Coturnix japonica: one gene and its partner. The protein of the gene in region 1 interacts with the protein of each later gene in a pairwise test. Links are inferred from orthologs where the notes say so. Each region holds a gene or a part of one and is shown in the gene's direction. Other genes may lie near its edges.

Region 1 (15,378 bases):
GAAGTAGCAGAGCCAGCACCCTGCTCACCCTCCCCATCACTCCACTATCGATTTGCCCTGACCTCACTTTACCATGCTCTGATTTCTTTCAATCAGGCTTTGAATGAAGCCTCTATGCCGTTCAATAGAACCAGCCCTGGGATGACCCAACTGGAGGTGCATGGAGTGCTCCTGCTCCCCCCCCAGAGCATCTGCTGGTGATGCAGTGGCACAGGCTGCCCAGGGAGTGGTGGGGTCACCATCCCTGGAGGTGTTCAAGGAAAGCACAGATGTTGCATTGAGTGATGTGGTCTGGAGCAATCACGGCATGGATTAAGGTTGGACCAGATGACCTCAGCGACCTTTTGAACCTTAATGATTCTGTGATCCCTTGTGTCCCATGTCCTACAGCATAAACCCACCTCTTCCAGGCTGCTGCCTGTCCCCTTTGCCCCAAACCTGAGCATCCCATCATCCACCCACAAAAGCCTTCCCCAGTCTCCTTGGTGGCTGTCCCCTCCTCGGGGCTGCATTTGCTCAGTGTCAAGTTGGTTCCGGCAGGCTGATGGGCACAGCGCTTGTTTGCAGAGATTGCACAGAGCAGAAATCCCTGCACTTCATCTCCAGCTGCAATTACCAAAGCCAAGTCGATGCAGTTGATGGTAATGGGATGGTAACACTGTCTGAATTTGTATTTAATGCTGATTCCAAGGGTCTATAATTTTCATCAGCACCACGCGACTTTTTATAGAACAGAAAAAATGTGAGAGTGGTTAATGAGCTGTAATTCTGGAGAGCTTCTGCCTTGATTGGGACTAATTATTTTCTTTATAAAAATAATTAACAACCCACACAACCTATGGAGTGAAAGGCATGTGGCATTAATTAAACCTTGTGGTGTTTCCAGCTCACCTTTATCAGCGGATCCTGTCGTGTCCTGGGCATGCAGGTGGGCTTTGGTGCCAAGGGACAGCAAGGGGACATCGGGACCACCCTGAGCCCAAATTCATCTCTTTCTGCAGTGCCCCGAGAGCCTGGAATGAGCCCCAGGTGGATGGGGAGCATGTCTGTGTGCTTAGCCGCTCTCTTACATAATATACAATTGTTAACAAGACTAATTCCTCTATTTTCCTGGAGGTATGCTGAGAACTAATGAATATATTTGCATAATCTTGATTTTGTTTATGAATAATTCTGGATTATCCCGTTGTGAATGGCACGGGGGCTTTGCCGCTCCGGGTTGCCTTTCAGCTGAGGATAGCAAAGCGTTTTGCAAATATTAGTTCAGCCTCACAAATCCCAGCAAGCAATAAAATTATTATTACACCCAATTAAAGATGTATGTGCAGAGCATGGGAACGACTGTCTGCAGCCTCAGGAACGGGAGCCCAGGGCTGGACCTTCCCCTCAGGAGCCTCTCGCCACCTCCCTGCCTGGACTGGGAGTCTATCTGGTGGGAGAGATTTGTTGCTAAGTTCCTTATTGGAGACAGAAGGGGAATAAGCTTTGTCTGAGCACCAAAGGGAACACTCCTGCTCCGTGTGGAGCATCCCCTGACAGACTTCCCTGTGCTCCCCTGAGCCCTGCTAAGAGCCATGCTCAAAGCCATCTCCCATCACTCCTGACAAGTGTGTGCTCACAATCCGCGATTCAATTAGAAGTTAACGAGCTATGTTATTGGCAAATAAACTATTTATCTTGCTGCCATTTGCCCTGCTCAACAGAGCAGGACTTTGGGCAAGGGAATTGCAGTGAGGACCCACAGCCCTTCCTGGTGCGGGAATGGGAGCTGGTTGACATCACTGTCACCTTTCCAGGTGTGGGAACCTGCAGGGTGTTTGCCAGGGAGGGAGATTTAGGAACAGGAGAGGCAAAGGGCTGCTCCCTGAAAGGAACATCTTGGGGAGGAGGACACCCGAAGGCAGGGTCCTCATCAGGACTGGAGCACTAAGCTATGGGGGGGACATCTGCCCCAGTGCTGCCAGCAGCTGCCTGCAGCGGGAGTTTATGATGGAGATGGAGCCACTCCTATCTCTGTGCCCATTATCATCCCCATTCCCAACCCTTTCCTCATCCCATCCTCAATCCTCTCCCCATTCTGAACGCTGCTGCCATCCTCATTGCTTCACTATCCCCATCCCATTTCCATCCTCATCCCAATCCCATCCTTGCCCCATTTGATTCTCATCTCCATCCCCATCCCACCCTCATCTCTTTACCATCCCCATCCCTAAGCCCATCCCCAAACCCCATCCTATCCCTATCCCTGGGCTGTGACCATGCAGTGTCCTCGGAGCACCTGGCACCAGCCCTGCCACCGGTGGGAACCCACCTCTGTTCTTACACAGCCATGCATAGCAAATCAGTTGCCGGAAAAAATGAAGAGACGAGCTGCTTTTTTGGCCCAGGTTGTGATAAGAAAGGTCGTGAAACATTTCTGGAGGCCAAGAAGCAAAAAGGAGCTGCTGCTGGGCTTGGGCTTGCAGCAGGATGCAAGGGTGTGAGAGGGGGGTGAGCCACAGAGGCAAAAATTGGATGAAAAATGCCTATTATGGAATTGTGTTTCTTTTCTGTGCTTAAGCTGCTTCAAGAAAGCCACGCGCTTTTCTGCAGCTGGTGCCTCTGCTGATGCACGAGGAAACAGTGGAGAGAAGATTAAAATTGAACTGGCTCAGGATCCGTGCAATCAGGGAGAATATCGCGGTGATTTGCTATTATAATTTCCAATAACAAACGACAGGGCTCCTGCTGCACTAATAACAGCGGTCTGGATGAGGCGGGGAAGGAACCTGCCGTGCGGTTGGTTCTGTGGCTGTGTTTGTGGAAAGCACTTACAACCTCCCCCACCTCGTAATTTTAAAGAAGTATTTTTAGAGCCTGTTTCAAAGGGATTTACGTAAACACATCTGCATGAGTTTTGGCGTGGAAATCTCTTTACAACCTTCTCCTTTCCCCCCCTCCTTCTGCCGGGTCAACCATTTTCTTTTTTCAATCAACTGAGAAGAGGCAGAAAGCAAGAGAGAAAGGAAAGGGTGATTTCACCAGTGCAGAAAGCCTCCTCTGCACAGAGGGATGTGTTCTGAGAGGAGTGTGGCACAGCCACAGCGGGTGTGGGACAGCGGGGTCCCAGGGCTGTGGGTGTGCATGTCTTTGTGCTGGTGATGCACTGGCACTGCTGTCCAGGGAGTGGTGGGGTCACCAACCTTGGAGCTGTTCGAGTAATGTGGAGATGTGGCAGTGAGGGATGCGGTTATGGGCATGGTGGGGTGGGTTGGGCTTAAGGCTTGAGGATCTGAGAGGTCTTTCTCAACCTTCGTGACTCCATGACTATGATTCTGTGCACCCAACTCTGCTTGTGCCCTCCAAACAAGGTTCACCAGGAAGGCAGTTTTTCAGCTTCTCAGTCCTCCAGCGATGAGGAGCTGCAGGAGAAAGGCCGTTTGATGAGAGCTTTGTGGCAGGAGATGGCTCAGGGACTCAGGAGCCTGAGGACAGGGGAGGGGATTGTGTCACCCAGCGCTGCATCTCATGGTCTGATGGCATGGCATGTGCCCATGGTGATGTGCACAGTGATGGGTACACGGCCACGGTTTGCTCCCAAGGCAGCAAACACTCTGTGCCTTTGCCCTGTCCTCCGTGCCTCTCCCAGCTGTCATGGCCCAGCCCATGAAAGATGACAAAAAATATATATATGTTTGAATCTCTCTGTTCAATCGATGTCTGTAGAGCTTAACACAAAGGGATTACCAGCCCGTTTAGAGCGTTAGTGACTCTCAGCTTTCACCAGAGGAGAGTATTGGGTTGAACTGAAGCCAGCCTTTGATGGGATTGGAGAATAATTATTTCCATCAATAATTACTTCCAAGCCCAGAAGAAATGGTCCCCAGCGTGTTGCAGGACAGCAGCCCTTGGTTGCCTTCAGGCTAATGTGTTTCAACGGCGGGACCTGAAATGCCATTAGTGGGGACATCACCCACTGTGCCCAGGGAGAGCCCCCATCCGCACCACTGGAGCTGCTCCAGCTTTGCACAGGTCATTAATTTGGGGACATTTTTAATGGATCCTAATGACTGAGCCTCCAAAGACTGTTCTTAAAAGGGGGTTGGGAAATGCCACAAGCTAATTAGTTCGCAAAAAGTAAGTGATTAACCATGTAGCTTCCTGGATGATTAAAAATAACATGGATGATGGGAAAAGACTGGGAAATTTTTTACAAGCAGAGTAATAGATTGTAAAGATGGAGGGACCATTGGATCTGCCAGCATCACCTGTGTGGGAAATATTTCCTCCAGCTTCATCCCACTGACCCCCAGCATATGTGTTTGCCTAATGTTCATCCCTAAACCTTCAGGCGTTGCAATCTGTGCTCCAAGAAAGAAAGGGCTGTTGGATAAGGTGGGGATTTCCTGAGAACATGGGTGGAAATAGGAATTAAGTCTCTTTGACTTTGACAGATGCTTCTGCACCAGCTCCAGCCCCCAGAACTGTGATTCTCATGACTGGGACAGGCAGAAAGTTCCCAGGGGCTGCAAGCCTCTGGCCACGGCTAGCTGGGGCTGATGTGCTGCTTCCCCATGGAACTGCACTTTAGCTTCCCTCCTGGCATCACTGAACCCCCAAGATGTGCACCACTCCTGATCCTGGCCCTGCAGCCCACATTTGGTGGCTGTGATGGTCTCTAAAGACCAAATGCCTGGCCAGGCTTGGCCTTGTTGATACTTCCTTTATTTCTTTATATAATACTCTGCGTGGCACCAAAAATGTGGTGTTCTCAGTGCCGCACTGGGTATGGTTTATGGCTTTCCATCAATGCTTCCATTCTCTGAAACAAATATCTGCAGGGCTCTACTCAATGTGGGCTCCCTGGGGCTCATGCAGGCACCTGCATGGCTCAGGTGGTTCCCTTTGTTTTCTTGCTCTCTTATTGCTCTTTCTGGCCTCTTGCCATGCAGTGGGACGCTCAGCTGCCTGCCATACTCTGCCGAGGATCGGCGTCCTGAGAAGCTGAGCAGCTGTGTGTCCAAGGAGACCTCCACCACCAATGGCTGGGCAAGAGGGAAGGAGAGACGCAACCCTGCTCTGCACAGGTCACGCAGGTAGGGACAGAACCACCCCACCGTGAGGTTCATCATCCCCATCCCTGCTGAGGCTGTTAGATCTGGTCAGGGGTTGGGGCACATTGGGTTCCCCTCTGGCTGTGGATCACCCTCAGCAGTTCCCATCACCCACACTGAGATCAGAGCAGCAGCATTGCCCTAACTAGGATATCGCTTTGTTATCTGTGCACTGTTAGCCCCTGACAACTTGCAAGGGTAAAAATGAACGAAGCTTGCTAAGCAAGGCAGCTGGGGTCTCAGCCTTTGCTGCTGAACTGGGATTTAAGGCCTTTCTGCTTGGAAAGAAAGAGACAGAAAGTGCATTTACTATCTTCAGATGTCAGGCTAACCGGAACAGTAATCTAAAGTGTATTTTTAATTAGACTCTGATTACAATCACAGAGGAACAATTAAAGTTAGATCAGCTCAGGGAGGAGGCTTCCACTTCAAAGACAAAAGGCTTCATCTTGGGAGCAGGGGGAGGGCTCCAGGCAGGCTGCCTATAGCTGAGCACACAGCCTGGAGGTTCTTCATGCCCTGGCACAGACATGGCAGGGGATGATGATGGAGAACGAGATGAGGACGGGGCTGAGCTATGCTGGAGCCCACATCCCTGTGAGGATGGCTTTTCAACCACGAGGTCCTGATGGTGGCAGCTGCAGCCAGTGGGATGAGCAGTGGGGATGCTGAGGCATGGATCCTGTGCTCTAGTTTCCATCATTCACTGCCTTTTTTTAGGGTCACCAACCCTCATTCATTTCACATTTCCAGCCCAGTGCTCCAAATTCATTAACTGCCGTTTGCTTTTTGCTGAAACATAGCACAATTTAAAAAGAAATTAATAGACAGTTCCCCCCCCACTCCAAGTTTAACCGCTGTGTAAGAGATGCTTATCTCACTAAATCACCGTAGCATGTCAATAAATAGATATTTTTTCTAATCAATTGCTATTTAACATTTGCCATGTCTCCCATTACCATTAGATTCACTCGGTCTCAATAATTATTGTATGCAAATCAAATGCCAATTAATTATTTAAAACATATTTACAAAGCAGCGAAACCCATAAATCTGTCATGGAGTTGTTAACCTCAGCAAGCTCATTTCAAATAACCAGCTGGCGTCGCAGCCACGTACAGTGTCTGCCTCATTATATCTCCATTAAACCCACGGAGGAGGCACTTAATTTCAAGTGAGGGTAATTAGAGGGTAATTAGGTGCCCTGATCTGTCCTGGTTGGCCCTCAGGTAGGGATGGTGGCACGTGGAGGTGGGCAACCCCAAGTGAGGTCATTCCGATGGTGCTTTTATCAGTTTATTTTACAGTCTTGTTTGGCTTCTGCAGCCCATCGTGTGATGGTGAACGTGCACCACCGCCGGCCCGGGGGAAGAAGAAGAAGAAGAAATCCAGCCGCAAGAAGCGACGGAGGTGAGGGTGGCCATGTTGGCCTGGGCCTTGCCTCATGGGGAAGTGCATCCTGCAGCCCCTGGTGCATGAAGGAACAAAACGGGTATAAAACAGAGGTGTGAGGGGCTGGGGATCTGTTGGCCATCCTCTCATCCTCCCCTTATGCCCAGAACATGGCTCAGCCTCAGCTCTGCCTGAGCCCCAAGGCCTGGTGGTGGGGTTCAGGGTGGGCAGCCCTGGGGGTGAAGGGCTGTGCTGGCCCTGATGCCTCTCTGCTCCCTCAGGTCTCCTTCCTACAGCCCCTCGCCTGTGAAGAAGAAGAAAAAGAAGAGCTCCAAGAAACGAAAAAGAAACAGGTATTTCTCCTGTGGAAGCGTTGCGGGGAAGCATCAGGTTCTGAAAGCTGGTTTTTAATTTAAAGAGAGTGATAAAATTTTGGAATTGCAAATATTTCACTGTTTTCTCTCAGCTGTTAAACCAATATTTGCAGAGAACAGTGGATGCCATCTCCCTGGGAGAGTTCGTGTATTTATAATTTATTGAATGAGAGCAAGAAGCTACCAAAAGTGGTGAACAGAGTGAAAAGCAGCGCTTATTTCTTATGGGAAAAGGTGGAAGGGGGGGAGAATTGAAGGAGATAGAAATACCTGTAAAATATATCCTTTCGGAGAGCAGGTTCTTATGCTATGCTATATTTGGCACCTCCTGGTATCCATCTCAGGTCAGATGCTCATCATTTTTACACCTGTCGTACCCATTTGTGCCCCTGCAAGATGAACTATAGGCTTATGGTTCATCCCAGAAGGGAGCGTGATCAACCACTGTGTGTTAGTGACCAATGGAGGTCATTTTGAGATCCCACTCAACTACAGATCCCAACTGGCCTTGCCTTGAGCCATCTCACAGCCATTCTAGACAGGACTTCATGCTGGGTGCTCTATGGGATACTGTGCTAGGAGCTCAGATGGGACACATCTGGTGCACTGTGTCCTTAGTGCTCAGCCTCAAGATGGACTTTACCAGATTGTGTCAGATTCAGACTTCCAGTTTTGTAAGACGCTGTACTCAGTGTGCACCTTTGTGTCTTGCAGGTTATCCTCAAAGAAGAGAAGACACAGGTAAGAGCTGAGCACGTGTGGGTTGATCCCTTAGAAACGGTCTCCTCAGGATCTCACAAGGTTGATGTTCATGGTGCGGAGCCACTTCTATGACTCTTTGTGGAATCCCCTGGGTCCCCCCATCCCCTGTGGGTCTCACAACCTTGTCCACGTTGGACACTTTCTGAATCTTGAGCTTTCATTCTTCCTATGGTTTCACCTACAAACAGCACACATCCCCCAGCAGTGAGGAAATATTCCAACCCAGTGCCTTTCCAGGTGCATGCTGGAAGAACTCTTCGGATTCCAGTGCATGTATCTTCTCTATGGGAAAGTGTAAAGCCAGAAGGTTGGCTGATCCCACAGGCACTGTGTCCCAGCCAATGAACCAGGTTTCTCAGCAGGAGCTGAGACCCCCTGTGTCGAGTCAGAAACATTCAGCCCTTCAATTTTTTAATTGCATGTTTTTGGGCAGTTTAGCTGTAATGTTGATGTGTGATCGTGCGATATATTGATATTTATTTTAATCAGAACAGAAATCTCCAAATTAATTAGCCATTTCTTATTTAGTTCCTCAAGCCCCAAAAGTAAGAGAAAGGAAGAAAGAAAACACAAAAAACAGTAAGTAGTGATTCACAATATTCTCTGCCCTGCCAGTTGTGAGCAGAAGGTCCAGCTCTTCTGATGAAGGCAGTAGTAGACCCAGCTCTGCACAATGGTGTACTCTCACTGACAGGGGCTTTAGCTCTTCTTTGTTTGCTGCTTGCAGAGGTTATACAGGGACTGCTTGTGATATAACCAAATATCCAAATGGGAGCAGAAAGCAATGGGGGCTGGGGAAAAGAAGGGGTTGTTTAGAGGTGATGGAAACTATTGAAATAGGGAGCTGAGGTTCCCATCTGCTCTGATGTGTGCAGAAGACAAGCACAATGTTTGTCTTAAGGAGCAGACATGAGCATGGCATGAGACATGGTTCTTTGGGGACAGGAGGAGAGGCTGTAATACTTCCATTTTGCAACCTGTGGCTTCTCACCTGCTTTCAGAGCACAGAAGCAGTTCTGGGGCTGAAGCCTGGCTATCACACCCCTGGCTGGCCCTGCTGGGACTCAGCATACCCTGTTAGGGAAAGGAGATGAGCTGGCAGACCAGGATTTGCTGTCTATTTGGCGTTAGCATGACCTGTCCTGTAATTCTTCCCAGCACAACCTTTATTCTTAGGAAGGGAACAGAAGGACAAGAGCCCCTAGCACTGCTAGTGTCACCCTGCTGCCCATTGGGACTAGAATCCACAAGGTGCTACCTCCACCTCTATTGCATGCAGAAATCCCATCTCCTTTTCTCTGCATTTCTGCGTGTTCTCACCATTTTCTTCCTGCAAACTGAGCTGCTGTGTGCCCAGAAATCCTATAGATCACTGATAAAGCTGAGACTTCCTTGATTATCTGTATTAGAAGGCACCTTCCACTCACAACAGTATTGGCCAGCCTGCATTAGCCTAGCAGCGTGGTTAGAACAGAGACTGGGTGCAGTAGTGCATTGACAGAGGGGAATGAGAGCTTCTGGGGTTGCTCTTTGGGGATGAACCCCCCCAGGGCTCCTTAGTCTTCATCTTTCAACTTAGAAATCAGAACTGAAGCTCCTGGCTTCGTCAAGCCTCCCCGTTGCTCCCATAAGCCAACCTGAATCAGGGTTTGGCTTATCCGTGGGTTGAACAACTTGTTATCTAAACTGCATGGGAGCAGTTTGTCCTTCCTGAACATGGGGGAAAAGCTCTTAAACTGGAGGGACTGATACAGAAGGTGAAGAAAAAGCATGCAAGGAGGGAGAGGCAGTCAGTGCTGCTGACTTCAACTATGCAGAAGGAAGGAAGCTCCCCAAATGTGAAATGCTGGAAATCCAATCATAGTGTATAAACAGCATCAGAGAAGACAGCCAAGCAGAGTTCAAGCAATTGCCCTCATTGTTGCCCTTTTGTTTTGGAGGAGATGCTGTGCTCAGGCAGTTGGTTCACTGATTTTTTATGGTGCCACATTGCTAAATGCTGTCCAGGCAGGTATGTTAACGGTGTCAGTGACTGGTACAGCATGGCCATGAAACCAGATTGTTCCTGTCAACTAACCCATCATCAGGTTTGCATGCTGGCACAGCAGTGCCAGGCTGAGCAGATGGTTACACGCCAGACCCAAAATAGCTGCTGAGGTGGGCACTGGGCATGACAAGAAGGAACAAGCACAGAAGGTTTCAGAGCCTGCCACTCACATAACCCTGCTCCCCGAGTGCAGGACTGGGGCTTTTGGCAAGGACAGGCCCAGCCCTTCGGTTATGGGGCCAAGTCCAACTGTAACAACCCAAATAGAGCAAGGGGAAAAGCAGCAGGACAGTGAACCTGTGTCTGTGTGCAGTTTGCTGGTCCCTGTCCTGTAGCCATGTAAGAGAATGGAGTGGCAGCAACTGGGCACCTATGAGAAGTCAAATAAATGGTCCTGTCCCCTCAAGCAGAAATCGTGCACAGCATAGGCTGCAGTTATGGAGGCTGTCTCATGTTTATTACAACAGTAAGAGCAGATTATAGGACTGGCTGGACCCTCTTATCTTGAGAAGGTGGGGAAAGCTGATACCCAGTATCCTGTATTATGGGGAGTCTGGGATGGTTTGAGTTTGGCATTGGGCTGCCCAGACAGATGGTGCTCCCCAAACAGGGCTTAGCATTGGGCTGTCATGGTGGGCTGCAGGATGAGGGGGGAGTGGGTGACATAGCTCTGCTGGGTCTTTAAAGAAGAAAGGATTGGTGCTGCCTGCTGCTCTCCTGTGCACTTGTCCATAGATCTTCCAGCAGGGCGCAGAGGCAACCTAACAGCTTGTAGCTAAATGCTAGCATAGATCTCAGTAAGATGACATGTCTTGATGTCAGGGCAGCCGTGAAGGGATGGAGAATTTTTCACGCCTTTGTGTCCTTTGCAATGTTTCACGCCCCAATCCCTTTGCTTTAAAATGCTGATCTTGTTTCTGATGTAAGTGCCGTTGCCTTTGGCCTCCAACTGTTGGGTCTTACAGCCTGGGTCTGCTGTCTAACCACAGTTTCTTTTCTGCTTCCCAAAGCTCTCGTGGGCGCACCCGGAAAGCTCACCGCCACCGCCGCTGCCACTCTCGCTCAGAGAGCTCTGACTCCTATTCCCCGAGCTGCAGGAGCAGGTAATGTCACCACTCACAGGACTGGCTGCCCTGCAGCACTGCAGTGGATCAGGGTAGTGACTGCAGTGTCTTGTGTGCCCTGCTGACCCTCTGGGCAGAGCCATGTCCCACTCTGGCAGTTGGGAGTTGAGCTTCTTGTGGTCACAGCCATAAAACAGAGGGTTTGGGCTCAAGAAGTGGTAGCTGCATCTTCTCAGCCCAACAGTCACTTCTGATCCCCATGGCTGATGATCAGCCAGTGACAGCTGACTTCAGCCCAGTCTGCCTTCCCCAGCCCAGGGCTCTGTACTGCCAATGTCCGAGGAAAGCTTCAAGCTTGTTCTTAGCAATGGAAATGTATTTGCCAATGGCATCCTATGGCCACTATCTGTGACCTGATTAAAATCTCTTTCCTGTAGATGACAGATGCATCCCGAGGCCAGCTGAGTGGATGCTGGTGCAAGACCCGCATCACTGCCATAGCAAATTGAATAGCTATGCACATTGTGAGCTTGTTATGTGCTGTTTTAAAGAGCTTTATGAACAAACCACTCCCTCTGACCCACTCCACTTAGAAAACTACTGAGAAACTTCTCATGGAAACTTGGCGATCAGTGCAGGGAGGAACACAACCAGTAGTAGGTGGGAAGTTCATGCAGGCGCAGTGTCTTCTCTTGGAGGTATATTGCCATAGGGATATTCAAGGCTGCGTGGAAGCTGTGAGCCACTGTAAAATTAGGAACTGGAGATGAAATTAAAACCCAAAACCCACCACGCATCTCCTGGCTGCAAACTAAAATGCTTTTAAAGCAAAATATTCCCTTTCTTTCCACCCTGACTCCACAGAGAAGGCAAGGGTTTGCATGCAGCTGCTGGTGGGCACTGCTGCAATGCTGAGGATAACACTTTGCTTCTGCATGTTTTCTGGAGGCGCAGAGCCAGGTCTCGGGAGGAAGGGCGTAAAGCACGGCGGAGACGCTCCCAGCACCATGCAAAAGTCCCAGCAAAGAGAAGCTCCTCTGCAGAGGTTCAGGCCAGCCAAACCCTCCCACTGCACAGCTTCCTGTCTTCTAAGGAAGTCGTAAGTATTACACAATGTGCTTCTTTGCTTTCAGTAGCCATGGGAATATGGGTGAGAAGTCTGCCATGTAATTTTTATAACTCGATTATAGCGATGTTAGACGAAGTCTGGTTAAAGCAGCATTACTTATTAATGGTGCTGTTCTCCAGATGTATTTAAAGTCATTCCTTCCTTCAGCACTTCCTCCTCAAGAGTGGGGTTGGAGAGGGGAAAGGTTTGCCGAGTCTCTAGCCTCTGAATAATGAATTGAGGACAAAAAAAAAAAGAAAAGATTAAAACCTGTGGCCTTCAGCGATGATATTTCACAGGGATGTGTTTGTTATGCAGTCTTTGCTCAGCTGAACATGGACTTAATTCATCGGTCTTCATGTCCGAAAGTTTAGTCCTTCAGGGGTAAAAAAGGGAATCAGACGTATATAAAGGAAATATTTGCATTTAGTGAGTTGGTGATTATTGGCAGGGGATGTTTTCTATTGGGATCCTTCTGAGATCACTGTTGCTCTGGACTGACAAGCCCAGGGGCCAACTTGAGAGCTTGTGTGCAGCTCTCGTTGATGCTAATGGGAACTGCATGTGCAGCCGAGGGTAAAGTCAGTCTCAGTGCCTTGGGATGTTTTTCCATATACATGGGAAGAGACGATATAATGCGTGCCTTAGAACAGAGGGAGCAAAAATGGAGAGAAATCTTAGATAGCGACTGGTATGAAATCTTTGTTTCCCATGGAACATTTCCTCCTTGTTCCCAGTAGCTGCCAAGCAGAGGTGTGATGCTCTTTGATCAGCGTTAGTATCTGATGGGTGTTCTGGAGAGGGGCAGTTCTACATAAGACTTGAGGTAGTACAGGACCTGGTGCTTGTGTGTGGATACGGAATGCTACCAGCGGCTTGTGTGGAGTCCTCTGAGCCCTGAAGTGGAATATAGTGGGGGACTGACTTTTTCCCCTTAAGCCCAGTCTTCAACTGGAAATAGCTGAGCCATACTGCAGATAGAGGAGATAGTCCCAGCAAGAGGAGGCGCCTTCTCTGCTCACCTGCACAGCTGGCATTTCAGTCACTGTACACACAGATCGTATATGGATACAGACAGACACAAGCCGTCTCCCAGAGTCATAGACATATATTTACTCCTGTCATATACACCTACTGAGTGTGTAGTGCACAAATGAGTCATTGCTTATAAAGCCATGTAAGGCAGAGCACGAGTAGCAGAACCTGCATGCTGTGCTTACGTGTGTGTCCTTACAGCAGCACATGCAAAGAAAGGACAAGCTGCAGAGCTTTCATTGCCATCGGCCTGGGGTGTTTCCTTGTGTCAACTCAGCAAAGGTCAGCGTGAGTTAATAACACAAAGAAACCAATGGCAAAAAGACCTCACTTCTGCAGTCAATTGGTGTCCTCTTTCTTCCCAGGAAGCAGTACGCTCTCCTGGGACACTGTTCAAGAGCACATTTATGTACTTGTTTAAATTGAATGCCCCGGTAAAGTGCTGAATAAGGTCTTTAAATATCATGTACTCAGAACCAGCAGGGAAAAATAGAGTGGGAGCTTTCAGTCTTGTCTGCTAATGCCACACATTCTCTGTGCCACAACCCCTGGCCTGGGCTTCCAACCCAAACCCTCCTGACCTGAGGAGATTCACCGTGATATCTCCAAAGGAAAGTGATGGTCCGGGGAGTGCTCTGACACACAGATGACACCCAGACAGGCAAGACACAGACTTCCTCCAGGTAATGCTACAGCATTTCCAAGTCTGTTTTAAAAATTATTTAACTTTAGGCCAGATTTTGTTCTATTTTCTTCTGAAAAGTGGAAGCATTCTGTGGGTTGTCTCCAGGCATTTTGTCCCTTCTTTTCTATCGGAATGATCACATCCAGCTCAGCTTACCTGCAGTCTGAGGGATGAGGCACACAGAATTGCTCCCTGTCCATGCATCCACCTCGCTGCTTCTTCCCCTCTTGCCTTTATGTGCAAGTTGGCGCATGCATGAGCATGCACACAAGCAAAAACACCCCAGAGCTCCCTGCTCCTTTTGAGCAATGAATTTCCAAGCTTCACACACACATTTTTTCCTTTAATCACACGCAGCCACAATAGGCACCTGTTGAGAAAGAGGATTGTGAGGCTGTGCCTCAGCATGCAGAGGAACTGGTAATACGCTGCTGCTATATCTGAACATTAACAGCAACCCCCCGTCCTGCTGCAGACACTGTTCCGCATTTGTACGGATATATTCCATGCCCTTGTGCTTCTGGTTGAGCAGAGCAATATAAGTAACTGCAGGGTGTGAGCTTAATTGCCTTTTGTTGTACCTGATGAAGATAACTGCACACCGCATCTACCTTCCCTGCCAGCTCCTTTGCTTTCACTGAAGCTCGTTTGCAATGTCACTAATTAACACAGGTTTGACCCAAATTTTCAGGGAGGCTCAGTGGGGTCTGGTTGTTCCAAGCAGCAGTACTTGTGCTGGTGTGCCTGCAGGGAGGTACAGGTGGGACAATACAGTGCAGGGATGGGGACAGTGTGTGCTGGGGGGCTGGGGGAGGCTGATAGCATGCCTGCAGGCCGCATTGCTCTTGCTCTCTGTTTTCCAGCCTGGGTTGTGGTTTTTATAGGAAAAGCTGCTCTTTTAACTGCTGCACGCCGTGTTTCTGATGACAAACAGGGCTCTTCAGGAGCTGGAAGGCAAAGCCTTTCCTAAACATGAAAGCCTCTCTCTTTTGCTGTTCCTCCCAGCCAGAGGACTGAATGTACCTCTGGTTATCACCTGATAAATTTGCAGCTCAGTGCTCAAGCAGAGGCAGGAGAGTGTGCAGCCATGGGGGGACCAAGCAGCTCCCCGGATACCCAAAGGAGGCAACACAATGCGAACCCTCATCCCAAAGCTGTGCCAGACCAGCCCAAACTGAGCTGGAAGTGCTCACTGCAGCGGGCGGAGAGGAGGTTTGCCTCCTTGAGGCAGAGGGTTAGCAGAGCCCAGCCCATCTCCCCATTAAAGGGCAGCCCCCTGGGCCCCACTCCCGGCAAGGCAGCAGGTGCTGCGGTGGCAGCTGTCTGCAGGGAGCAGGGGTCACTGCTGCAAGCTTTGTGTGCCTTTCATTGGTACAATGCATGGACAGACAGAGGGAGGGAGACATTATGCACTTCTGAAAAAGAAATTAACTCTTGTTTTGCAACTCATTTCAAAGCAGAGAAAAAGACTCGAGAAAAACCCTCTGGCGATGAGCGAGTCTGTGCCACGCTGCTCGCTGATGGGCCTCGGTCCCCTTATGGCTGAGAAAATTTATAGTCCTGTCTCTCCTCGAGGCTGTTTGAAGCACAGTAAATGAACTCGTTCAGTTTAATTGGAAGACGAGCAGTGATTGTATTGTTGTAAGCCATTAGGCTGCACCGCCTCTTGATCTAGGAGCGCACTCAGCATTACGTTCTGAAGCATCAGGGCCTCGTTTCCACTCGTCCCTTCACCTTGCTTAAATAATGATTTGAAACACAAAAATAACAAACCCAAACAGTAAATATGTATCTTGGGTTCTCTTGAGGGCAGCACTA
Region 2 (15,378 bases), on another chromosome or scaffold:
TTGGCAGTGGAAAGTTAGTTCATTGATTTGGCCTCTCTTCAGACCGGAGCTTATTCAAATTTTGACTGATAGAAAAGATGGCTTTTTTTGCTCCTTAGGATGGGAAAATAGTTTCTAGGTTTGTTTGTTGACTTCATGTCCAATTACATTTTTTTCTAACTTTCTGTTCCTCTTTTTTAATTTATTATCTTATTATGCCTAATGAACCTGCTTTGGCAGGGGGGTTGGAACTAGATGATCTCTAGAGGTCCCTTCCAGCCCCTCTGATTTTGTGATTCTGTGATGTTCCAAATTAGAACAACGCCAGTGTATTTTTCTTGTATTGGTAACATCTCAGTGTCTTTGTATTCTTTAAACTTCCTGGAATAATTTTGTGAGGATTGATTTCTAGTTTGTCTTGGAACATGACTGTTGCATTGCTTAGCCCAGTTAGAGGAAAAGGAAAGAATATTCTCATTGTTTTACTCGTGTTTAAAAGACTAGATACAGCCGAGCTTAATGGGTTTATGAATTCAACCCAACAGAGTTGGGTTTAAGAAAGGCCTTACTAAATAACATGCTTTTCTGTGCTGCATAGAATAGTCTTGGTCAAAAAGCTTAGCACAGCTATATGACTACGAATTCAACTGTAACTGCATTGAGTCCCTGATGGAAAGGTGAATTTAAGTGTTCAGTAGTTCAGTTAGTTTCGATAAAAGGAGAATTTTGAAGCTGTCTAGTATTTTGATTAGAAAATCATCTACACGAAAGTTTAGTCTGATGTACCGTTTAATGGCTTTGTAGCATGTGAAATCCTTCAAAGCAAAAATAAAACTTAGGGTTTTCAAGCAAGCCCCATCAAACATTCACTGTGCATAATCATGGGGTATTGTAAATTAGGTTCTTAACTAAAGAAACCAGATGTTTTGCCTGTCCGTGGGGTTTTCACTAGTCCTGTGTTTGCACCATTTATAGGCAGCTGTGCAGAAGATGCTGGATCAAGCTGAAAGCCAGGTATGCTCTGTCTTCTTCAAAAAAGAACTGAAAAATAATTTAATTGCTATTCAGTGTTTGCCTTGCAGCGTGTTGTCCATCTGCTGTCAAGAACCCAATGGCTGTAATAAATTTAATGTGTTGTGGTTTGCGTGAGCTGTAAACAATTATTTACTAGATGGAATATAATTAAGTCTATTTCTGAGTGGTTGACGGCAGTGCAGTTGTGCGTGCTCATTCTTGTTCGGGGGATGTGAGTCAAGAATGAACCTGGAAATACTGATGTGTTCTCTATTTTTAAAGAAACAGCAACAACAGAAACTAGTATCAGTGTACTTACGAATTAAATTTCTAAACAAAGCTGCCAGTCCTTCCAAGCTGTGAGACTAACTTGGTTTTTGAGCAGATGGTAGACTAAATAAACCAGTCAGCAGCATAGGAAAGCACAGATCCTGAAGAGTAAAAAACAGTCTGGGGAGAAGGTGACTACCAGAGTGCCTGGAATAGCATGTATTTCACGCTGGCAGTGTGTAGTAAGGGAAATTCATTTGAACCTAAGAGAGTATGAATTTGGTTTTTCATATTTCCTTAGAAGATAACTTGACTTTTTATGCCAGTATATATGGATACACAATTGAGTATTTTGAATAGTCATGTTCTGCTTAAAATTCTGCGTAAATCTGAAATTTAAGTTATAACTGAGTGTTACCCATTGAGTGTTGATTGCCACTGACTGCTTTGGAGTAGTATTCAGTTCTGAATTGCATTTAAATGGGTCTTTAGGTACACAGTCTGACTCTTTATTTTTGAATATGAGTAGAAAAATGCTCTGAGCTATTACCTGCCCAGCACTTCAGATGTGTTAACAGCCATTTCAGTAAGGGGATAGACAGAAATGTGGTGAATTAGAGTCTTTGCATGGTATCAGTCACTTCAGAGTTCTGCTGCTTCCATGCTGTTGAAGTGATGGTGCTGTTTTGTTGAGAAGAAATTACGGCTGAAAGTCACGAGTAGAACTGGTTGCAGGATCAGTTCTGCTTGTAAATGAACAGTTTTCAGTTGATCTATAATGACTACACGTGTAGTTGGCTACACGGATCTTTTGGCCAAGAAAATGAAAATTTATTTCTAAAAATGTGCTTTATTGATAGTCATCTCATGCCTGTACATTGATTATCCCAATCTGGATTATAGAAATCTTCATTTGATTGCCTGAGATGAGCAGTATTGAGGCTTTTAGTTCCAGTACTGTGAATTTAATTGTTTTTAATTCTGGTTACAGAATTACAGGTTACTTTTATATGAGCGTTTCCTAACTGCATAAAAAGTGACAGCGATAAAATTACTGAGCTTTGAGCTGTTGCAAAGGCAGGCAAGTAAGTAGTCCTGTATTTTTATCTGCCAGATGTAAAAAGTGCTGCTCAGTGCATACTGGCATGAAGTACCAGACAGGCTTAGCTGAATGGGAAGAGCCTGTCAAAATATTCATTATTCTTGTGGATTCCAAATGAAATAGTTGACCGAGGAGCAAATTATTACTACAGTTCTTTGGGTTATGAAATCTTAAGAAACTTTGTTTAGCAGAAGAAAACATTTCTTAATTTTGTTTCAATGCTTTTTCTTTTTCCACAGCTGGAGAATGGTGTGACCTGGCATAACCCAGAGCCCCCGGAGAATATAGGAACAGAGAAGGATAGAGCAAATTGCCCGTTTTATATCAAAACAGGTTCCTGCCGATTTGGAGACAGGTAATCAATTGAATATTACCAGCACATGAATTTTTTTGAGTGGTGGAAGGCAGCTTCATTAGCTTGTGAGCAAACTGAAAAGAATCTTGATCTTGCTTTATAAAGGATGCCTTTTCTGTGAGGCACTTGTCTCTAGGGTAAGCACATTCCATGCCAAAGCAAGGGATTGCCTCAGCGATTGAGGGAGCCATTAACCTTCCCCTATCGGCAGCGCTCTGATGTGGTGAGGGTGGAGCTGGGAGAAGTGGGGTCACCCCCCCGTGGATACAAAAGGGCTGATCACCTTAGAAAGTACAACCAAGGACTCAAGTCATGACTGGTGCCACTAAAACAGGCGAAGGAGATTCTTTGCTGTGAGGCACTGAGGCATCCATCTACCACCTGGATTACCTCTCTAGACTAGAGGTTTGCTGCTTTCTGGGAACCACATCTGGGACACCAAGAAGAAGATAATAGATATTATAAAGTCGATTGACTGCTACCGCCTGCTCGTCTTTCAAGCTGGGTTGCATGAGGCTGTGATCAGGAAATTAAAAAAATATCAAAGAAGACGTTATGTCAGTTGGAAGGATATTGAAGGGATGAGGAATGCAGGTAGTGTTCTCCTTAGTCCTGCCAGATGGAGACTGGGATCTGGGAGAAGGAGGAGAACGGATCAGTTGAATGACTGGCTGCATGGATGGTGTCATGCTGAAGGCTATGGGTTCTATGATCTAGGACACACCTTTGACAAACCAGGAATGTTGATATGGGATGGGACACAACTGACCAGGAGGGGCAAGAATATACCTGGCAACAAGCTGGCTGGGTTCATCACCGGGGTTTTAAACTAGTGCTATGGGAGTGGGTGTACTACTGAGTGACAGATAGCCAGGGAACACTGTTACTTTAGGAAGCAGTGGGGGAAGACCTCGGATTTGACCAAGGTGTTTGTGGGAGGGGTCCTCTAGGAAGGTAATATGTCTGAAAGCCCAACCAAAGTGCCTCTATACCAGTGCATGCAGCATAGGAAGTAAGCAACTGGATGATATGCATCCCATAGTTCTAAGGATGCTGGCTGATGTGGTTGCTGAGCCACTCCATCATATTTGAAAAGGCATGGCAGTAGTCAGAGTCCCTGGTGACTGGAAAAAGGGAAACATCACTCCCATTTATAAGAGGAGGAAGGAGGACCCAGGGAACTACAGGTTGTTGAGCTTCACCTCTATGCCTGGGAAGATCATGGAACAGATCCTCCTGGAAGACATGTTAAAGCACATGAGCAAGTGATTCAAGACAGCCAGCTTGGCTTCACCAAGGGAAGGTTGTGCCTGTCCAATCTGGTGACCTTCTGTGATGGAGTAATGGCATTGGTGGACAAAGTGAAGGCAACTGATGGCATCTACTTTAACTTGTACAAGACCTTTGACATGGTCCTTCACCACGTCATTATCTCTAAATTGAAGAGATATAGATTTGAAAGGTGGACTGTTTGCTGGATAAGGAATTTTTGCTGCAAGGTTGCAGACAGGGTTGTGGTCAATGGTTCTGTGTCCAGGTGGAGGCTGGTGACGAGTGGTGTCCCACAGGCATCTGTGTTGGGACTGGTACTCTTTAACATTTTGATCAATCACATAGATGATGGGATCAACTGCACCCTCAGCAGGATTGCTGATGACACCAAGCTGGGCAGTACCATTGATACAGCAGGAGAAAGAGATGCCATCTGGAAGGACCTTGATACACTTGGAAGGGGGGCCCATGTGAACCAAATGATGTTCAACAAAGTGAAGTGCAAAGTTTTGCACCTGGGTCTGAGTAATCCCAGGGATGTATACAGACTGGGAGAAGAACTTGAGTGAAGCCCTGTGGAGGAGGACATAGCGATCTTCTAGATGCAAAATTTAATATGAGCCAGTAGTGTGCACTTGCAGCCCAGAAGGCCAACAGTATCCTGGGCTGTATCAGAAGAGGGGTGGCCAGCAGGGAGAGGGAGGTGATTGTTCCCCTCCTAATTTCTGAGTCCCCTTCTGGAGTACTGTGTCCAGGTCTGGGACCCCCATCACATAAAGGATGTGGAACTCTTGGAGAGGGTCTAGAGGAGGGCCGCAAAGATGACCAGGAGGCTGGAGGACCTCTCCTATGAAGATAGACTGAAGGAGCTGGATGTGCTCAGTGGAGAAAAGAAGGCTGCGGGGAGACCTCACTATGGCCTTCTTGTATTTAAGGACAGATTATAAACAGGAAGGAAATATACTTTTTGCACAGGTAGATAGTGATGGGACAAGGAAGAATGGTTTTAAACTAAAGGAGAGAAGTTTTGCATTATATCTCAGGGGGAAGTTTTACGAGAGTGGCGAGGTGCTGGAATTTGTTGCCCAGAGAGGTTGTGGATGCCTCATCCCTGGAGGTGTTCAAGGCCAGGTTGGTTGGGGCTTTGAGTAGCTTGATCTAGTGCTTGATCTAGCAGTTGGGAACCCTGACAGTGGCGAGGGGATTGGAACTTGATGAGGTCTCTTCCAACCCAAGCCATTCTATGATTTTATGATAAATTACTTCTATTTATTTGGGTGGGTTTCTGTTTTTCATGATGGAACTAGACAAAACCATTGCCTGGCTGGAATTGAAGCAATGTTACAGTTGATACTGTAATACATGTAATACAATGCTGTTGATACTGATGATACATTCTGGTTCTGTTGGTTAAAGTGATTTCTACTTTAGCTCTGGCTAATGTATTTGGGCAGAATACAATTGATTTCTGCTTTTAGTGAAAGCCTGGCGTGTCAGATGGTGTTTTTCATCTTGATTAGCTTACATATGCTGCATCTTTGAAAAATAAAATAAAAGCATGTAGTCTCCAGAATTCTCTTCTTTGTCTACTGTTAAATCTGTGATACTTTCATTCTTGATTCCTGTATATTACTGTGGGTGCTTTGTATTGGAAAAGTGGTAAAAGGCAAGAACACAGAAGGACAATAAGGTGATCAAAAATGAAGAACAGCTTTGGCAGGAGGAGTGGCTAACTAGCCTAGACATTTCACTTTCAAAGAGATAATGGAAGAAGGCTCTAATAACTAGACATTTTGTTTGAACATGAGTCAGCAGGACTGCAATTGCTGGTTTCAAGACCTGGTCTCCCCCCCCCAGTTTTTCTGTTGCTTTGCCACTGCTAAATATGAGAGTAGACTAGTCTTGACAGTCGTTCTGATCACATCATAGAAAGGAGAAGCATGCTGGGGAGCATCTGATCCACTTAGTCTGTGAGGTGTTTGAAACAGCAATCATAAAGCATGCTGAAGTAAACATGGAGTCTACCATCCGTGATCTTAGCGAATCTAAAGGTCTGTGGGGGAGAACTGAATTTCAGCATGGGAGGGAGGTAGCCTGAAGATGATGCACAGTGAGGGAGATCCAGTACTTATGTAGCTGCCAAGAAGATGCAGACTTTAGATAGGGCTTGTTTGTAGTAAGCTCTCTAAGTGGAAAAAGTCAGTCTCATCCAACTATGAGTCTAGACATGCCTTTGTTTTGGCACCCCTCTCACCTCTTCACAATCTCTTCTTCCCCATGTGTTGAGAACACCACCAGTAAAAGTCCTCCCTCCTAAAGATCTGTCTTAATACTTGAAATACATTGATATTCTGCTAGTGAATTTTTATTTTTGTACTAACTCTTTCAAAATGGTGAGTGTTCGAAGTTTCAACAAGTGCATCTTCTGTCAAAAGTGCAAATATTTTTCTTCCTTCTCTACTATCATCCAGGTGTTCCCGTAAGCATAACTATCCTACATCTAGTAAGACACTGCTTGTGCGAGGGATGTTCATTACTTTTGGCATGGAGCAGTGTCGAAGGGATGACTACGACACCGATGCAAGCCTCGAGTACAGTGACGAGGAGACCTATCAACAGTTCCTAGAGTTCTACGAGGACGTGCTCCCTGAGTTTCAGAATGTGGGGAAGGTTGTTCAATTCAAGGTATGCATACGAGTGTAACAGCTTGTAAATTCTGAACATATACCGCGTCAGCTGTGTTTTACTAGCCTTTAGGGAATTCAGTGCAGTATGGTCTAGGTAAATCCCATGTACTTCAGAGGATCTATATTGTGTCTGCTCTCAACTGTACATCTTTCATGACACCTGTAAACTTCTCAGTGCTTCTGCAGAGCATTCTGGGTGAATCTTCTCTCCCATTCTCTTGAGTTGTTATAAAACTTGTGCTTTTATACTGCCAGATATTCATACAGAATAAGAGTCCATGTAACTCATAATCCCTTCTCTGTTTAGCCTGTGATAAGCCCAGGGGGCCTGTGAATTAAGACTGTTACATGACGTAAAGATGTATGGGCTGTTATTGCTACTTATTGTCACTGTGCAACTTAGAACTATGCTGAAGGAAAGATGATAACTCATTTGGAGTATGCGCCCAAGCAGTGTCATTGTAGAACTGAAGCAATAAACTCAACAATGAAGTTAAAAGGTAGTATATACTTCAGTAGCAAGAATTACTTTGAACTGGCCATCTTGTAAAGATGCTATTTAAATGGTGTTGAGGTTTGTCATCCACCCTTAATTTCTGTATCTGGTTTCTGGATACATATATACATATATATTTTCCCCTTATAAAGATTATGATTTCTAATGAGGAAAAATGAGGGACTTGTAAGTATAGACCTCGAGATGAATGATGCCTTGTTGCACTAAAATGTACAGCTCGGATGGTAGAATCTCCTTGTAACAGAACTTAGCGAAGCATCCCTTTTTGCTTGCCATTGCCAAGTGATTTTCTGTAGTGACCAGGAGGCATGAAGTGCCTTTTCTCTTTTTGTTTCCCTGTATTGACAACTGCCTCAGGACAGAGATTATACTAGCATCTCAAGCAAGAGGAAAGTTAAGTAAAATCAGTGAATTCTCAGTCACCTTTCTAAGAAACCTTCACTTATTTGGATGAGAATCCACTCCCACGTCCCCATACTTTGACTCAAGGGTCAAAGTCTTACCATCAAACTCACATCCTTAAGGTAGTAGTATCTTGGTTGTGTTACATGCAGCTATCTGCTGCGTTGCATGTATTTGGGTCCTTGTAGCTAATCATGAGGTAAGAGCTTCTAGTCAAGGCTTTCTTAGCATTTGAAGCAATTGTGCAACTCTAATTTGATTTTTTGGAGGCGTTCTTGTTTTATTAGAGGTGCTTAGAAATTATGTGTTGACAGCCAGAATCTCAACTGTGGTTGAGTCTCTGCTACCATTTACACTCATGTAACGCACATCCCTCTTTCAACTGACTTCCATTTCCAACATGGCCTAAGGTTTTATTCTTACTGTTTTTTCTGGGAAGCTAGTCCAGAATCTGGCAGGTCTTGACAAGACACGCTTCTTCTCTTTTCCCACCCAAACATGCCTATCATGATGTCGTTCTTACTTGTTCTTGCATTGACATTGTTACTTATCTTGAATAGGATGACTGTATTTGGTTGTTGTGGAGTAGGGTTGACCCAGACTTCTTCAGTGTAAGACAACTGAGTACAAGCTGCCTTGTAGGCTGGAACAGAGGTCACAGTGTCAATCAGAGCAAAATGCTGGAAACATACAAAAATAAAGCAGAAGATCTTTTTGTTTTCTAAACCTTGTATTTGACTAAAACTGTGTTCAGAAGAAACTAATGTGCAAATTCACGCTGATGTGCTGTCATAAATTGGAATGGCTGCCAATTCAACGCGTGTGAGTTGCTGTATAGCATGAGCCTTCCACTGCCCTAATGTAATGTTTCAATCTCCTTAGGTCAGCTGCAACTATGAGCCTCACCTACGAGGAAATGTGTACGTCCAGTATCAGACGTGAGTATTCAGTCTTACCAAGTTGCAGAACTAAACTGCAGAGTCCAGTAATGAAAACGGTGTAATCCAAATGATTTATTCTCATACTGTAATGAGATCTTAAAACTGGGAAATAACATCCGAAACGATTGTACAGCAATAACACTGCATGTTTGGTTATGTGGGTTGTTGTTTTTTTTCCTTTTTAAAGGGAAAAGGACTGTCAGGCAGCTCTTGCTCTGTTCAGTGGCCGATGGTACGCAGGCCGGCAGCTTCATTGTGAATTTTGTCCTGTGACAAGGTGGAAGACTGCAATTTGTGGTGAGTTGCATAAACACTCAGGAAATAGAACGTGTGTTATTGAAAGTTTGCTTAGAAGTGAAAAAAATAGGAGTTAAGTGGTTGCTTTGATTCACCCACTGCTTCAGTTCACGTTAATTTCTTTTTCAAAGACAAATACGCTTATTTGCTTGTGTAGATTTAGGAAGGAAAGGGAATATCTCTGTCATATGACGTATGCGTTCATATCATCCTGGTAGATTTGCCATGTACTGGAAAAGAAAATTTGGATCCCAGCTTTCAGAATAATAACAGTCATAAGGTGGAAGTGCAGAAAATAGCAGTTTATCTCTTTCAAAAGCAACAATAGTGTCTCAACCATCAGCAGTTATTATTGCACTTGACTTCGCTCCATGTACATTCTTTGACAGCTTAGGCTAATAAAAGTATTTATAAAATTGTTTCAAGCTAAAGCATAAAAAGCCATCTTAAACATATGTTAAAAAGTTAATTCCAAGAAAAGTACACATAGAAGTAATCTTGGGTAAAATAGGTGCTCATGTACATGTTTTTCTGTTCATAGAAGCAAAATTCAGTTCAATAAGTTTCTTTCCATTAAGTACATAATGCAGTTTTAACAGGTCTGGTTCATAAAAAGCACCCCATATCTGTTGCAGGCTTATTTGAAAGGCAGAAGTGTCCAAGAGGGAAACACTGCAACTTTCTTCATGTATTCAAAAATCCAAACAATGAGTTCTGGGAGGCCAATAGAGACATACGTGTTTCTCCAGAACGGACTAATCAGTTATCTAAAAACTCTGAAAGGAGAAACAGATCGAGCCATCGTGATGACTATTATGGCCGATCAAGGAGAAGGGGCAGTCCAAGCCCAGATCATTCTTACCGGAGAAATGGGGAATCTGAGAGAAAAAAGAATCGCCGCAAAAGCAAGAAAAGGCGCCGGTCTGGCAGGTCAAGAAGTCGAGAAAGGAGGAGGTCACGCAGCAGAGGGAGAAAGAGGAGAGGACGCAGTCGGAGCAGAAGTTACAGTCGAACACGCAGTCGGAGCAGAAGTCGGAGTTCCTCTCGATCCAGGAGTAGGGGCAAAAAGAGGTCAAGCAGCAGAGGAAGAAACAGTGAAACTCCCAAAACAAAGTGAGAAATAATTTTAAGAAATTGCTAACTGATCAAAATGTAGAGCTGACAAAGAAACCTTTCCAATAGGGCACCAGATACATTTGAGTTACAAATAAAGTGTTCTTGCACATTAAAACGTTTCTTCCGAATAAAGGACCCTAGTTTACTGTGTGCTAAGCTTCAGAAAATTAAAAGTCCTATATAAGGTGTAAATGTCAAGTACTCTAGCTACTCTGTCCCTCTGAACTACTGCAACATTTGGATGCATACTGAGTACAAAATAGAAAGAAGTAAAGCTTTTTTGGTATATGCTTATGCCCGTGTTATGTGTGTGTTAAGTGTTTACTGTCCCTGTAAGGAGTTAGTACAGAACAGCTAGTGTGCTGTAAATCCGCACAACAGCATACTGCAAACTGAAGACTGTGTAAAAGAGAGCCATTTATGTTTACCAAATGTTTATGGGAATTTTCTTTCTAGACAAAGTAATATAATCATCTTATGCTTGGAGAAAAGGGATCTAAAAAGACTTCACAGTTTGATTGTACAATAGTTGCCCAGTAGGAGCTTTGTGGTCGTAAGTGTTGGATTTTTCTCTCCCATGACTGAGCTGCTGAGCTAATTGCCTGTAGGGATTGCAGTAGACTAAAACCAAGTAGGAAGAACAGAAAAAATAAACAATCAACTTATTTAGTACCTTAATCCCCAAGTAAGAGAGGAGACCACACACTTGTAATCCTGGAGTGAAAACAGAAAATAGTTTTCATACCTCTTAGTTGCATGCCATTTGTAGTTGGAAACCTCCTGCTTAACCTGCGGTGGAGCGGTAGGGAGAGTCTAAATCTGGTCACTAAACATGCAAATGAAGTTGTAAAGGCTCAAGATGACTGCAGAGATGTTGCAGAGTGGCTAAAGAAACTGAAAGGTTTATACCTGAAATAATACTTCAGGGTTTTGGATTTTTTTTCCTGAGATGAGGACTTGATTTGAAGCCCTTTTAGGCTTGTATTATAAGCAGTTTAAGGCACCCTACTGCCACTGCAGAGAGTGGGGTACATAAAAATGAAGTTATTACAATGAAGCTTTCTTGAAATGACAGCTGTGTTAGCAAAGTACTTGCAATTAGCACAGTCCTTATAAATATTTCTCTTTTAAATGAAAGATTTAAGCTGTTAAATGGACTCGGTTTATCAGGTGTTTAACTTAGGCACTTATGGCATCTGTGTGTTTGTGGAGAGAGCAGTTTGTGGTATGTAAGGTGCAGCTGCCCTGATCTGTGTGCAGATACCTCCCTCTCTTCAGCCTCTCTAGAGAATTTGGGATTCCTGCCTTCAAGGAGGTAGCTCTAAGTTGTTAGAAGCCCAAAGCAAATGTGAAATGCTCCCAAATAGATATTTGTTATGATTCAATAATACAGCGTAAAGTCCCACCAAAAATCTGGATTTCCAAACTCACTATAGCATTTCTCACAGCATTCTTTTTTTTTCCCAGGACAGTTGAGAGCAGATGAACATTGCTCCTGGTTACAATATATATATTGTAATATATAAATTATTATATATTACAAATTGTTATTGTAATATAAAATTATTTTTCTTAATGCATATAGCACCCAGCATGCTGATGATACCTTTTCTTCTTTCATGTTTAACTGTTGTCCACTATGGAGTCATACAACAAAAGCGCTATATATTGTTGTTCAGTTCAAACCCAGTTTTCACTATATATTATCATAACTGTAGACAGAACGGTAGCTTAGTTAATTTGATTTAGATGTTTTAGTTATTAACAGATGTAGGAACTGTAATTCAATGGCATAACTTTTGAAGTAAAGGTAACTTCACTCGAAAGGCGTATTTCAATGGACAGCACTAAGTTTCAAACTATATGGGAGAAATTTGCGACAACCGGTTTTTTATAATGTATCTTTTCTGACTACACCATGCAGATCTTCCCTGAGTTTTCTATTTTTTTCATGGATGCTCGCTTGTCTAGTTGGGGTACTTATGCAGAGTACAGCAAACTCATGCAGCTAAACTGTCATTTTACTGCTTGCTGAGATGCATCGCTAACAGGCCAGTAAGATCCTCACGCCACTGGCGCTGCCTTGCTTCCTGCAACTGGCATTCTAAAACACACACTCTAGTGTGTTGTATAGCCCATGCCATGCAGCAGGCTGCTGCTGAGGGTTATCTGAAGGAAATAAACTACTAAGCTTGACCAGAAGATAAGGCCGGTGTGGTGGGATGCTGATTTTGTGATATCTGTGACAAGCCGGGTGAAAAAAGTGAAGCTGACCTCTGTAGGATTAGGAACTATGCGCCAACTAAGACCCACGTGAGAATTCCAAGGCTTCTTCTCCCCACATTTTTGTAATGGGATCTGGGAAGTTGAGCGGCTGTATTTAAAAAAAAAAAGTTCTTATAATATTAATAATAAAACTTGCTCAGAGATGCATGTAAAATTTAAATGTACCTTATTTCTGCTACTCTGATGGTCAAACCTTCAGCTTTTTTTCTTGATATCTGGATCCAAACTCCCTGGCTGTACTTGTGTGCTGTAGGACTGATAGCTGTAACTGTTCGGTTTCACATGCTGTCTGCTTATTGCACTGAAACAAATGCTTTAGATCTGACATTTTGCTTGCTTTTGTTAGCATGAAACCTGGAATTCAACCAGTTTTCAGACGTTAAGAGTTCATATAGTTCAATGTTGTTTCCATACTTCATAATCTTAAGTAGTGTCGTATGCATGGTTTTGTTTCCTTATTAGCTAAGTGAGCTATTTACTCTGAACTAAAATTCCTAAACGTTAAGCTTCTTTCTCCAAAGGAGAAAAGCCCGGAACAATGCAGGATGGATTAGATTTGCAAGGAATAGCTTGTTCTCACTTTGTGCTATTCTGCGTGATCCACATAGAAGGACTACATAAAGTGCATTAACAGTTGTCAAGCTTTATTTGTGCTTTTATTTTTTATTTTATTTTTTGAATGACTGCTTAAAGCAGCTGCTTTCAAACTTTATTATGAAGTTTGTAAATATCACTAAAGTGCTTTGGATTGATGATGAAAGCATTATTTACACAAGAGCTGCAAGAAGGGGGTTAGAGCAGCAGCTGGGCCCTCCTGCCAGGGCCTGACAGCTGAGGAGGTCAGGATGGGTAACGGGTGCTGCTCTGACCATTCTCCTATGGAAGAAGTAAGGTACCTGAGCAGGAACTTGAATGTGGAAGTCCAGCTACTTCATAAAATCATCCAACTCCAGGGGCTTACCCCAAAATGTTTCAAGACAGTAAGACAGCAGGTGTCCTGCAGCAGAAGGGAATGCTGCTAAAAGGGAGAAGGAGCTCCCTTAAGCACCAGCAGCATGAATACTTGGTGGCACACAGGCACCTGGGAAGGCAGCATACCTTCAGGTTTGTGCTGGTGACTGCTTTGAAGTCTTTTCCCTTCCCATCATGGTTGCCATGCTTGCTGAGTAGCCATCATCACACAGGTGTCAGGAGGACTCACCCACGCTCACATGATGAATGGAAGGCATCCATTTTCACGAAGAGGCAACAAGCACAGACAAAGGTTTTTCCCTTGCTCATGTAAACGGACAGTCTGAAATGTATTTTAAGTAAGTAACTTCTTCAGCATTACATCATCCTTCAGCAGGATGTCTTTCTCGGATTCAGCTGCGCATTACCACATTCAGTGTATTTATATACCTGTACCAGTAGCATCATCCTTAGGATGAGCAAAGTAATGGCTTTCAGAAGAAATGCAAGAGCCTGCTCAGAGATGTTCTTACTTCCTGCCCTGAATCAGCACTTCTTACAAAATGTGAAAGGCTATGCTAGTCAAAAAATTAAATGATATAAGGAAGTAAATTACACTTATAAAAAGCGCCACTGATTTTGCTTTCACTGTAAGCTTGCTGTAATTAAAATAACTCCCTGTTACTCCATCCATCCTTTTATTCCGCTCTGATGCATCAGCTGAGCGCAGCATCTGTCACCGACATGTAAATAAATAAATAAAAGGTAACTTTGACAAATTACGGTTCAGAAAACTATGAGACGGATTGGAAGGCAAGTTGTACAGGCACAGCCCATGAACACGGTAAGCTGGCAAAGGCAGCCGCAGCGTGACCATCGCTACGGCGTTGACTCAGAAGGAATGGCAGGCAGTTAGGAAGGTCTCTTCAACAAAGATTCCACGATTACACTGAAGACATTCAAGCCAACAATCCTTTACCTAAACAATCTAGAAACTACCAGATGCTTTTCGCTTCTCATTATGCTCGTCTCCTGCTAGGACAGGAAATTCAAGACACAAAACTTCACTTTCACATTAGGTTGAGGAAATGCCCTAGCACACTAAGCTTTCCCCATGCTTTTGCTGGTAATATCAAGTTCAGTTCTTTTAGAAAGCTGGAAATTTCCAGCCAAGAGAAATCTGGGGCTGAACTGAGGATTCTAACATTGTGAGCGTAATTCCACTTGAGGAGCTGGCTAGCGAGTTTGTATCATCTAGAACCCTCTCTCAATCAGTATGTGGTTTGATTTCAAATGAAATGGGACTATGGCATCACTTTACCATCCTTTCTAATAAATTCCATGTTCAGTGTGATAAGCCTTCCAAAGAACTTGCTAATTTATTGCTTTCTGTAGAATTTAAATGGCTGTAAATAACTAATCTTGGACACAGTATTCTCGCACATTTTTTAATAAAGTGCTCCAGAGCAAGTTAAGCACTGTAATAAATTTCCCCTCTTTTTTTCAACTAGCAATGAGTAGCCTTCTTTTTTTTTCCCCCTCTGCAGAAAATCCAAACTAATTACATATAAGCACAAAGCAATGGTGTAAAAATGGACATTTATTACAACTAAACCAATGGGACAGTACGACAAAGGTCAAACAGTTTATTTGTCACAATCACAACAAAGCTTAACCCAGCCAAGCACATACAAGTGACAGTGTAAACTTCAAAAATGCTTCATACACAGGAAATCGCTTCAGGTTTGACTTAAAGTAATTTCACAACATCAGTCTCACACCAAGGGTCCTTCAAACACCACCTGAACCTCATCTATCCCTGCCCTTGTGCACAGGGCTAAAATGCTAACAACTGCTCTTGTGTGCCTTCAGTTCAACATGGTCTCGAGTAATCTGGTATATTTTAATCCCAGAAATGGCTTAAATGGATACATTTGCATGCTGCAAGTTCTTAGGCTCCGCTCTGGAACAGCCACTGAAGCTGCAGTCCCAGACCCAGCCCACCTCTGCCCTTACCATCCCCTTTGCTGCCACCAGCACCTCTACTGGGATCTGGATCAGGAAACAAATGTCAGTGCCAAACTTTTGCTGGTGGGTTACATTTAGTCTAGATTAGATTAAGCCACAGCTGGCTGTGTAACTGCTTGTGCTAGCACCACATGACTGCTTCCAGCGACAATGCCAAAGCT

What was found.
Region 2: the proteins of SRRM4 (region 1) and ZRSR2 interact in binary tests that used the Homo sapiens proteins (3 or more experiments, as listed by UniProt). The link is inferred for Coturnix japonica from reciprocal best matches to the Homo sapiens genes SRRM4 and ZRSR2.

The regions. Positions count from the first base shown.
Region 1 is NC_029530.1:8,640,241-8,655,618, reverse strand, and holds part of SRRM4 (serine/arginine repetitive matrix protein 4), read left to right. Parts: intron 1-4,931; coding exon 4,932-5,075; intron 5,076-6,419; coding exon 6,420-6,503; intron 6,504-6,766; coding exon 6,767-6,838; intron 6,839-7,573; coding exon 7,574-7,600; intron 7,601-8,149; coding exon 8,150-8,200; intron 8,201-10,678; coding exon 10,679-10,771; intron 10,772-11,680; coding exon 11,681-11,831; intron 11,832-15,378. UniProt on the Homo sapiens protein: Splicing factor specifically required for neural cell differentiation.
Region 2 is NC_029516.1:109,798,788-109,814,165, reverse strand, and holds the end of ZRSR2 (U2 small nuclear ribonucleoprotein auxiliary factor 35 kDa subunit-related protein 2), read left to right. Parts: intron 1-954; coding exon 955-993; intron 994-2,604; coding exon 2,605-2,720; intron 2,721-6,463; coding exon 6,464-6,677; intron 6,678-8,480; coding exon 8,481-8,536; intron 8,537-8,726; coding exon 8,727-8,836; intron 8,837-9,471; coding exon 9,472-9,953; 3' UTR 9,954-12,874; downstream 12,875-15,378. UniProt on the Homo sapiens protein: Pre-mRNA-binding protein required for splicing of both U2- and U12-type introns. Selectively interacts with the 3'-splice site of U2- and U12-type pre-mRNAs and promotes different steps in U2 and U12 intron splicing.